Yarrowia lipolytica: one gene and its partner. The protein of the gene in region 2 interacts with the protein of the main gene of each other region in a pairwise test. Links are inferred from orthologs where the notes say so. Each region holds a gene or a part of one and is shown on either strand. Other genes may lie near its edges. The genes, in order: YALI1_C10730g and YALI1_F28453g.

Evidence for each region.
Region 1: the proteins of YALI1_F28453g (region 2) and YALI1_C10730g interact in binary tests that used the Saccharomyces cerevisiae proteins (3 or more experiments, as listed by UniProt). The link is inferred for Yarrowia lipolytica from reciprocal best matches to the Saccharomyces cerevisiae genes RPF1 and MAK16.

Annotation. Positions count from the first base shown.
Region 1 is NC_090772.1:1,071,150-1,075,481, reverse strand, and holds YALI1_C10730g (66S preribosome component MAK16), read right to left. Parts: upstream 2,457-4,332; coding exon 2,439-2,456; intron 1,684-2,438; coding exon 763-1,683; downstream 1-762. Other genes in the region: YALI1_C10762g (uncharacterized protein), read left to right, coding at 1-298; YALI1_C10718g (uncharacterized protein), read left to right, coding at 3,212-3,403, 3,642-3,776; YALI1_C10675g (uncharacterized protein), read right to left, coding at 4,026-4,332.
Region 2 is NC_090775.1:2,843,562-2,847,293, forward strand, and holds YALI1_F28453g (uncharacterized protein), read right to left. Parts: upstream 1,823-3,732; coding exon 821-1,822; downstream 1-820. Other genes in the region: YALI1_F28393g (uncharacterized protein), read left to right, coding at 1-58; YALI1_F28459g (uncharacterized protein), read left to right, coding at 2,391-2,774; YALI1_F28467g (uncharacterized protein), read left to right, coding at 3,174-3,732. UniProt on the Saccharomyces cerevisiae protein: Essential protein. Required for biogenesis of the 60S ribosomal subunit.

The DNA of each region.
Region 1 (4,332 bases), on a different chromosome or scaffold from region 2:
GTCCGGTAAGATCCGAGGTTACGGCGGAGACGTTTGGTTCCCCCAGCCTGCCCCTAAGGACCACCCCTGGAGAACCATGCGAAACAAGTACGGGGGAGGAAACGCCATGACTCCTCATATCTCCGGAACTTCCATCGACGCCCAGGGCCGATATGCCGAGGGCACCAAGAAGATCCTTGAGGTTTTCTTTTCTGGAAAGCAGGATTATCGACCCCAGGACATTATCTGCATCAATGGTCACTACGGCACAAAAGCTTACGGAGATGACAAGGAGCACAAGGAGCACCAGCTCAAGTAAATATATATAGCTAGAAACATATCTCGTTGTTGCTTAGATACTTGTACTACGACTTGTCTCTCAACCTCTATTTACTGTCGCTCGACCTCTATTTAAGGCGTTTATCTCCCTCTAAACGTAGTCCATAGCAGCCTATGATTATTCGTATCAACCATTATTTAGTAATTTTGTACTTGGAATAGTGAAGGCACGTTTCTCCCTAACATCGGAGCCCAATCATTGCTTCAATTCACATTGTCATGAAGAGATAGGTCAAGCAAGCAAGACTTCATACAGAAATTCAATGATTACAAGTACTGCAATAAAGATCACCCATACTTCTGATGTCTGACTGCAAAGACGTTCTGTTTATCTCTCCTTAAGATAGTGAAGTAGCTGACATCTTTCCACTACAAACGCTCTCAAACAAGTCAGTATTTCTATACATTACATTTTTCCTCCGTCTATGCTCCTTCTCAGTGTATCTACCAGTCCACCATTTGCTTTTCCTTCTCGCCATTGTCCTCCTCGTATTCGACCTCCACGCTGGGACCCTTTCGCTTCTTGGTCTTGGGCTTGGGCTTCTTACCGTCAGCAGCAGCCTTTCGCTTCTTAGGCTTCTCGTCCTCGGAGTCGGTATCAGTCTCGTCCTCAGAGGCATCGGTCTCGTCTCCAGACTCGTCACTGCTTCCACCCAGCCACTTTTCAAGGTCCTCCAGCTCCACAAGATCGTCATCGTCTTCCTCATCCTCGACATATTCAACCTCTCCACCCTCTTCCTCTTCGTCCTCCTCTTCCTCTTCCTCTTCGTCCTCATCTTCCTTGTTGGCTCCCTCGACGCCCTCGAGCACCTTCTTCCACACCTTTTCGTCCACGTTGAGAGGGTTCTCGCCGTATGCTCCGCTCTTGAGACGGTCCAGCAGCTCCTTCTCAATGGCCTTTTCCACCTTGGCAGCAGCCAGAGCCTTTCGCTCTCGGGTAGCCTCTCGTCGCTTCACCTTGGGAGCCACACCAACATAATGGGTATCCTCCTCCTTCATGGCAATACGTCGCTCAGCAACAGCCACTTGGGTGAGACGAGTCAGACGCTGCTTGCACTTGTCAACCAGGAACTCATTCCAGTAAATGAGATGCTCGTCAATCTGCTCCAGGGCCCGCTTGTAGTTTTTGGACAGTCGGATCCGCTCCCACCACTTATTGGGGGTGTGCACTCGCTCAGCAGTCTTCATGTAAAGGTATAATCGGCCGTTGACCCGTCGAACGGTGGCGTATTTGGAGTTGGCGAGAGGGCAAGACTTGCGCTCGCAGATGCCGGTAACGTTGTACTCGTTCTTGCAGAAATCCTGGCCTTTGCCGGTTTTCAGCTTGAACGAGCAGAATTGGTCGTTTAGAATTTCCCAGATGAGCTGTGTTAGTAGGAACGAGCAGTCGTGGGCAGCCTAACTGCCGGTGGACAATAATCTATAGTGTTTCAACTGATATCTCGGTTCAGCTTGTGATTTAGTCGCACTCGGAAAGCATATTGTAGAGCTCAGGTTCAGTTATAGCAGGTCGCAGACCGACTCAGACCGACTCAGACCGACTCAGACCGAACCTTTAGAGACTGTAGACGGTAAAATCCGAAACAGCTCGAAAAAATGTTCATAGAGTCTTCTTTCAGGTGATGGCACAGTGTTGCCGAACGTCTCATGGACAGCGTTCATGATGGAGACTAGGAGAATGGACGAGGTCGACAAGGACGTTTGAGATTTGATTTGAAGCAGATTTGGAGCACGCTTGAATGTTCTAGCGTCTGCAGATAGCATAGTATCGCGGACAGTTCCAACAGAAGCATACACACATTCCTGAGGTCTGTGTAGCAGTACAGCCGTACCAACCACATACGTAGCCTGTAGTACAGTTTCCACATCAAGGAAAACACATAGCTCTTCTCCAACATTCAAAATAGCATCGAAATCGCTCTTCCAATGCTTCACCCCTTCTTTATCTCGTCACAAATCCGTCCACCACCTCCTCTGTCTAACAACCGCCTTGAGTGATCGGTAAAGTACCTGCCAAAAGCCATATAGATCCGGATTTTTCCACTTTTCCACTCTGTTGCACTTCTTTCCAGCCCAAAAGAACCTCCCTTGGGCGCTTCCATCTTTCCATCGATACTCACATCGTCACTCGCCGACATTGTGAATGTGTAGTTATGCTTGAAAAATTCGTGATCAGACTTTCAATCTTTCTAATTTTTTTGGCTCTTGCAGATTTCTCAAACTCTATTTCAGGTTATGAGCAGTTTAGAGAAAGTAACCTAAATTGTCTCGTTTGTGGTTGGCCAGAGTAGTTAGTAAGCAAACACAGTTCTTGAATAAAACACTCTCCAGCCAAAAATAGGGCACCTTTTAGCAACGTGCCGTTTTCGTAATACATTTTGGTCACGTGATCTCCGTTCTCTGCATGGATTATGCAAACACTAGGTGATTGGTGGAAGGTAAGGGAAGGGGACGTTCTACACTTGTGGAGAGAGAGGTAGTAGATGGAGGGGAACTGGGTGTGGTTGTATATACACATTACTGAGAAATATGTGACTGCAGTTGTTGTTTTTTGGATATCATGGAATTAATGGTGGTAAATGTATCACCAAGTCAGTAGTCTTTATTAGTTGAAAAGACTTGGTAGTCTCATCTATAGAGTGTAACTAATACTTGAAGATGTATAGTAACTCTACAGAATGCACGGTGGAAGAGCTTTCAACCATGAAGTGATACTGGGGGCTATTCGAAGCTATATAAACAAGCCTGCTAAATCTTCCTCCTTTTCAAAGGCTCCACATCGTCTAGTGTCGTACTGTCTTCTTTGCCACCTTCTTAGGGAGCTCTGATAAAGTTCGATAGTGAAACTTCTGGCATCGACTTTTGGTATCACTCTGACACGAACAATCACACAATGTCTAGACACCATCCCGATCTGGTGCTGTGCATGAAGCAGAGCGGCACTCGTGTGGGCCGTCTGTGTGAAAAGTGCGACGGCAAGTGCCCTGTCTGCGACTCGTTTGTGCGACCTACCACCTTGGTCAAGGTCTGTGATGAGTGCAGTTTTGGCAAGTTGGAGGATCGGTGTATTATTTGCGACGGATATGTGAGTACATTCAAGGCACCCACGGAAGACTTGCTGAAGGCGTGAATTGAGTGCGGTGAGATGGAGACGCCGAGGAGATGAGACACACGTGTCTGAGGAGGGTTTCTAAGCTCCGATGTGGTCAATGAACACCAAAAGCTCGTGAATGATTCTTGGACCCTCGAGATCAACTGTGAAGTGACTATATCGCGTTCTTAAGGATTTTTTCTCATTACTTTCGCTTACCATACTAACACAGGCGGTGGCGGACGCTTATTACTGCTTTGAATGCACACGACTGGAAAAGGACAGAGATGGCTGTCCGAAGATCATCAACGTCGGAGGCAGCCGGACGGACCTGCATTTCCAGAGAAAGAAGGAGGGACAGAGGTAATCCACTGTTGTATATTATTAATTTATTCTTAGGTGAACGAACTCGGGCGAAGCCCAAGTGATTGGATCTGTAATTATAAGTGTGTAGCCGCAGTCTGTGAACATTTCAATTCAAGTTACAAGTCACAGCTTCTCCCTAGTAGGTACGTCTATGTTGTGCTAAACTGTATACATCTTGTCCTGGCATCTACGATACTACAAGTTCATAAATCATTTTAATTCAATAAATAATGCTATTGTTTTGTCAGCCCTAGGGCTCACTCTCCCCCTTCTTCTCCTCCTTGCGCTCACTCCTGCTGGTGGTTCTCTTATGGTGGGGAGTGGCGGCAAATTGGGGATTGACCTCGACAACAGAAAACTTTTTACCGTGCAAAGTAAAGTCCGAGCCTCTGATCAGCGACGACGATCGCTCAATGGACGGATTATCAGCTCGAACAGGCGAAACTTCCCGTCCGGGGGAATCTGAGCCGTTTCGAAGACCGGTTCGCAGCTTCCGAACACTCATGGACGGTTTGAGAGGACTATTCTCACCTGAACGGAGATCACCAGATGATCTG
Region 2 (3,732 bases):
GTTTGGTTCCGCCGCTACTGCGATTTCCATGAGTGTGGTTGTTCTGCTGCTGTTCTAGAAAGACTACAACAAAAACTCAAGACTGAAAGGTTTTATTTATTTATAGACTAATGCATGATATTATGGTAACTGCGATATAGTACAAGTACATTACTGTACTTAAATTGGGGTATATTGTACAGATATTGTATTTGGTGAGGTTCCCTCTCCCATAAAGAGAACTGTTCTACCCGACAGACACTTCCCTACACGTACTGGTATTTGGTTAGGGGCATAGTATGAGAACCGGTAGATTTACTGTCAAATTTCTCGTGAGTCAATACTTTAACCCGACATAATACCTGTTCATGGCTAATGAGAGCGGTTCACATCAACTTGCTATACCAAGTGGTGATGATTACTCAGCGTCATAGTACATACTGTAGTTTGTAGTGAAAATGGAGCGTTGTTGACTATTCATGAGATACAATGACCCCTATTCTGTAGCATCCACAGGCAACTCTTGTCACTGATGAGCGCCAACACAGACCTCACAACCCTACACCATTCCACTGTACACTACATACTCGTATGTACATACTGTACATACTCGACACATTACTACACAACACAACATCTCTCTGATCCTCCATAATTAACCAAATATACATTTCTATATCCTTGCAGTCCAATTAAACCACAAGAATGCAAGCGTGCGCCTGCAAATGAAGCCAGCGAGTTGTTGCCGAATCAGATTGAAGCCTTGTTAAGTCTGTATGACTGTCGAAAAGTGTTTGTCGATCTGTGAAAGCGTTCGATCCTCGCTGTGCTTGCAGTTCCCTTACAAATGGAACTTCTTCTTATCCTTATCCATGGCCGATCGATGCTCCCATTCCACCTCTCCTCGAATGCCTCTCTGAAGACGTCTGAGTCTCAGGGTGAACTGAGGACCCAATTCCTGCAGACCCACTCGCTCCTCATTCTTGAACACGTATCTGTGTCTTCGGAAGAAGATCCAGTCTCGCTGGTTATGCAGAGTCACCACCTGACGTCCCACAAACTCCGGTTGCTGAGGAAACATGGATTGGAACAGCCGTCCGACAGTCTTACCCAGTCGCGTGGAAAAGTTGTTGAGAATCAGCTCGGGAATGTGGGTTGTTGATCGGCCGTGGCCCTTGATCTCCTTAGGCATCTTCAAAGATGACACGGAGAAGTACATGGTGGGGCCCTCGGGCAGATGAATAAAGGTCAGGCCGTTCACCTTCTTTTTGTCCTCGTTGATCACCACCAGATCAGTGTAGTCTCTCTCGGCGCACATCTTGGCAATCTGCGTCATTGTGAAGTCTCCCACTCGCTTTTTGAACTCGGAGCCGGGGATAATGTCGTACAAAAGGTCTGCAAAGTCGTAGGCCTGTCCTCGAGCTCGCTTAGAGGTAGTGATCAGTACCTTGGGGGGCTTTCCCTCCTCAAAGTACTCTTTGAACTCATCCTCTCCCTCCATCTCCTGAGCGATGGTCTCATCATAGACTCGCTTGGCCTCGATGGTGTCAGGCACGTTCTCAGCCAGACGTTTCTCTTTGAGCTCGGGGTTCTTGGCCTCCTCCTTGGCTCGTTCCCTTCGCATCTCGTGTCGCTCCTTATTGAGCTTGTGCTTCATTTCCGCGAACACCTTCTTTCGCTTCTCCTTGTTGGCGATCCGAATATCTCGCTTTACCGTTCCCATCGTGTCTTGTAGTGTGCTATGGTGTCCGATTCTCTGCAAAACAAATTTCTTGAAAATATTGGAGATAAAAAAATCCTGCATGAACTTTATGCAGGTGGACAGAGAAGGCAGATTGAGCATACGGAGGGTAGAATGGGGGTTGTGGGGGTGAATGAAGTAATGTGGGTACTAAGATACGGAAATGACTAGAAAACCTTTGAAAGAAGCTACCATTATTCACATACCCCCACGTGGCAGCTATACCAGGACTATTTTATGCTTACTCTCTCCGCCATGTTCATTCAGAATAGGATGTGAAAATGGGACGTGAATTGAACTGGCGTTGGAGCATGTTTAAGCAAGTTTAAATAACTGTTTAGTGTAGTCTGCCTTCTCACTCTCAAATGGCTATACCAGTACTCTGAACGAAGGGGTTGTCTTGCCGCGTGAATCTTTGATATGTCTTGTGCTCATCCTGCTTGACAAGATGGACAAATAACTGAACGATACGAAGCTATTGGTGAAGTTCCTGGGAATGGAGGTTCCACCGTCTCATAACTGTTGGGGCCGAGTTATATGTCAATGGGAGAAAGGGAGGGATTGATATATTGATATATATTAAAAGCACTGGAGGAGTTTCGGAATCGTGGAGCCTCGTTGATTCCTTTTCACTTGGGGACATTGACAGCTGGGAGGGACTTACAGTAGTATGTGTCCCATCCAGCTGAGACCAGACAAGTTTCGAAATCAACTAAGGGCTCAAGTAGTTGGTTTGCACACAGACGGAGAGCAGACACAAAGAAAAGCGGCTCACTGTGTGCTCTATGTTAGTGCGACTGGTTTCATTGAAAAAATTACATGCATGAAAAATGAGACGCGTAAAATCATTTCAATCCATCAGACGCGAAGCCTGTGGGCGCGGTCAAGGATAGGTACATACTGTAGCTACAAGAAGTACCCCGACAGGCGTAGGAGCACAGCATTGGGTTGCACAGCATTGGATTGCATGGGCGTTGGATTGGCGTGTCTGCTAAGGCCCATAGTGCAAGAACCAGACATAAAAATAGACAGAAACAGCTATCCGAGATGTTAGAAAGTTCATCAGAACACACGAAGCTTGCTACGGATGTGAAAGATCTCATACAGGAGGTTTGGAGTCTCTCATCCTCCGTGGGGTTAGGGTAAACCAAAACAGGCAAATGAATCAGTTGATCGAGTGAACTCATACAATGTGTTGTGTCTTGAGGGGTTCTCATACGTTATAAACAATAGCTGGAAAAAAAGAAGTTTTGAATAAGCCCATTACCGGTTCTCACTTTCAGTCTCCTGTTTTGGTCACTAGACATTCACAACCCCATCGATCTACGAATACCTCATACTGAAATCAAGGTTTCAAATTTCACCATTTGGGACGGAGGCCAGACTGTGCTGTAAATACTGTCACTTTAAAGCACTAGTACAGATACGTCGTTATCACCACCCACAACACACCATGGCTATCTTGGAAGAAATCGACGATGTGGACAACATGGACTTTGATCCCGCGGAGTTCGATCCCCGGGCGGTTCTCACCGACGCCACCGCGCATCAGGAGAGTGACGGGCGAGGTCCCATCAACCTGATTTCCAAGGCTGAGCACGAGCGACGAGAACAAGCCAAAAAACAACAGGAGCAACAGCAGGAGCAACAGCAACAGGCCAACCCCATGGCCCAACTTCAGCAGATGATGGACCAGATGAACCAGGGCGGAGGTATGCCCCCCAACATGGGCCAGCAGGGCAAGCCCGGTACACAGGTGTTTGACTCGGAGGAGTTCAAGAACCAGGAGATCCAGGAGTCCGACTTTAAGGACTGGCAAATAGTCTACCCGGTCTACTTTGACAAGAACAAGACTGTGGGCGAGGGCCGACGAGTGCCTCTGGAGCTGGCTGTGGAGAACCCTCTGGGCCAGACCATCGCCGAAGCCTGCAAGATGCTCACCCTGCCTTCAATCTACGAGGCGCACAAGACTCACCCCAAGGACTGGGCTAATCCCGGTCGAGTTCGAGTGC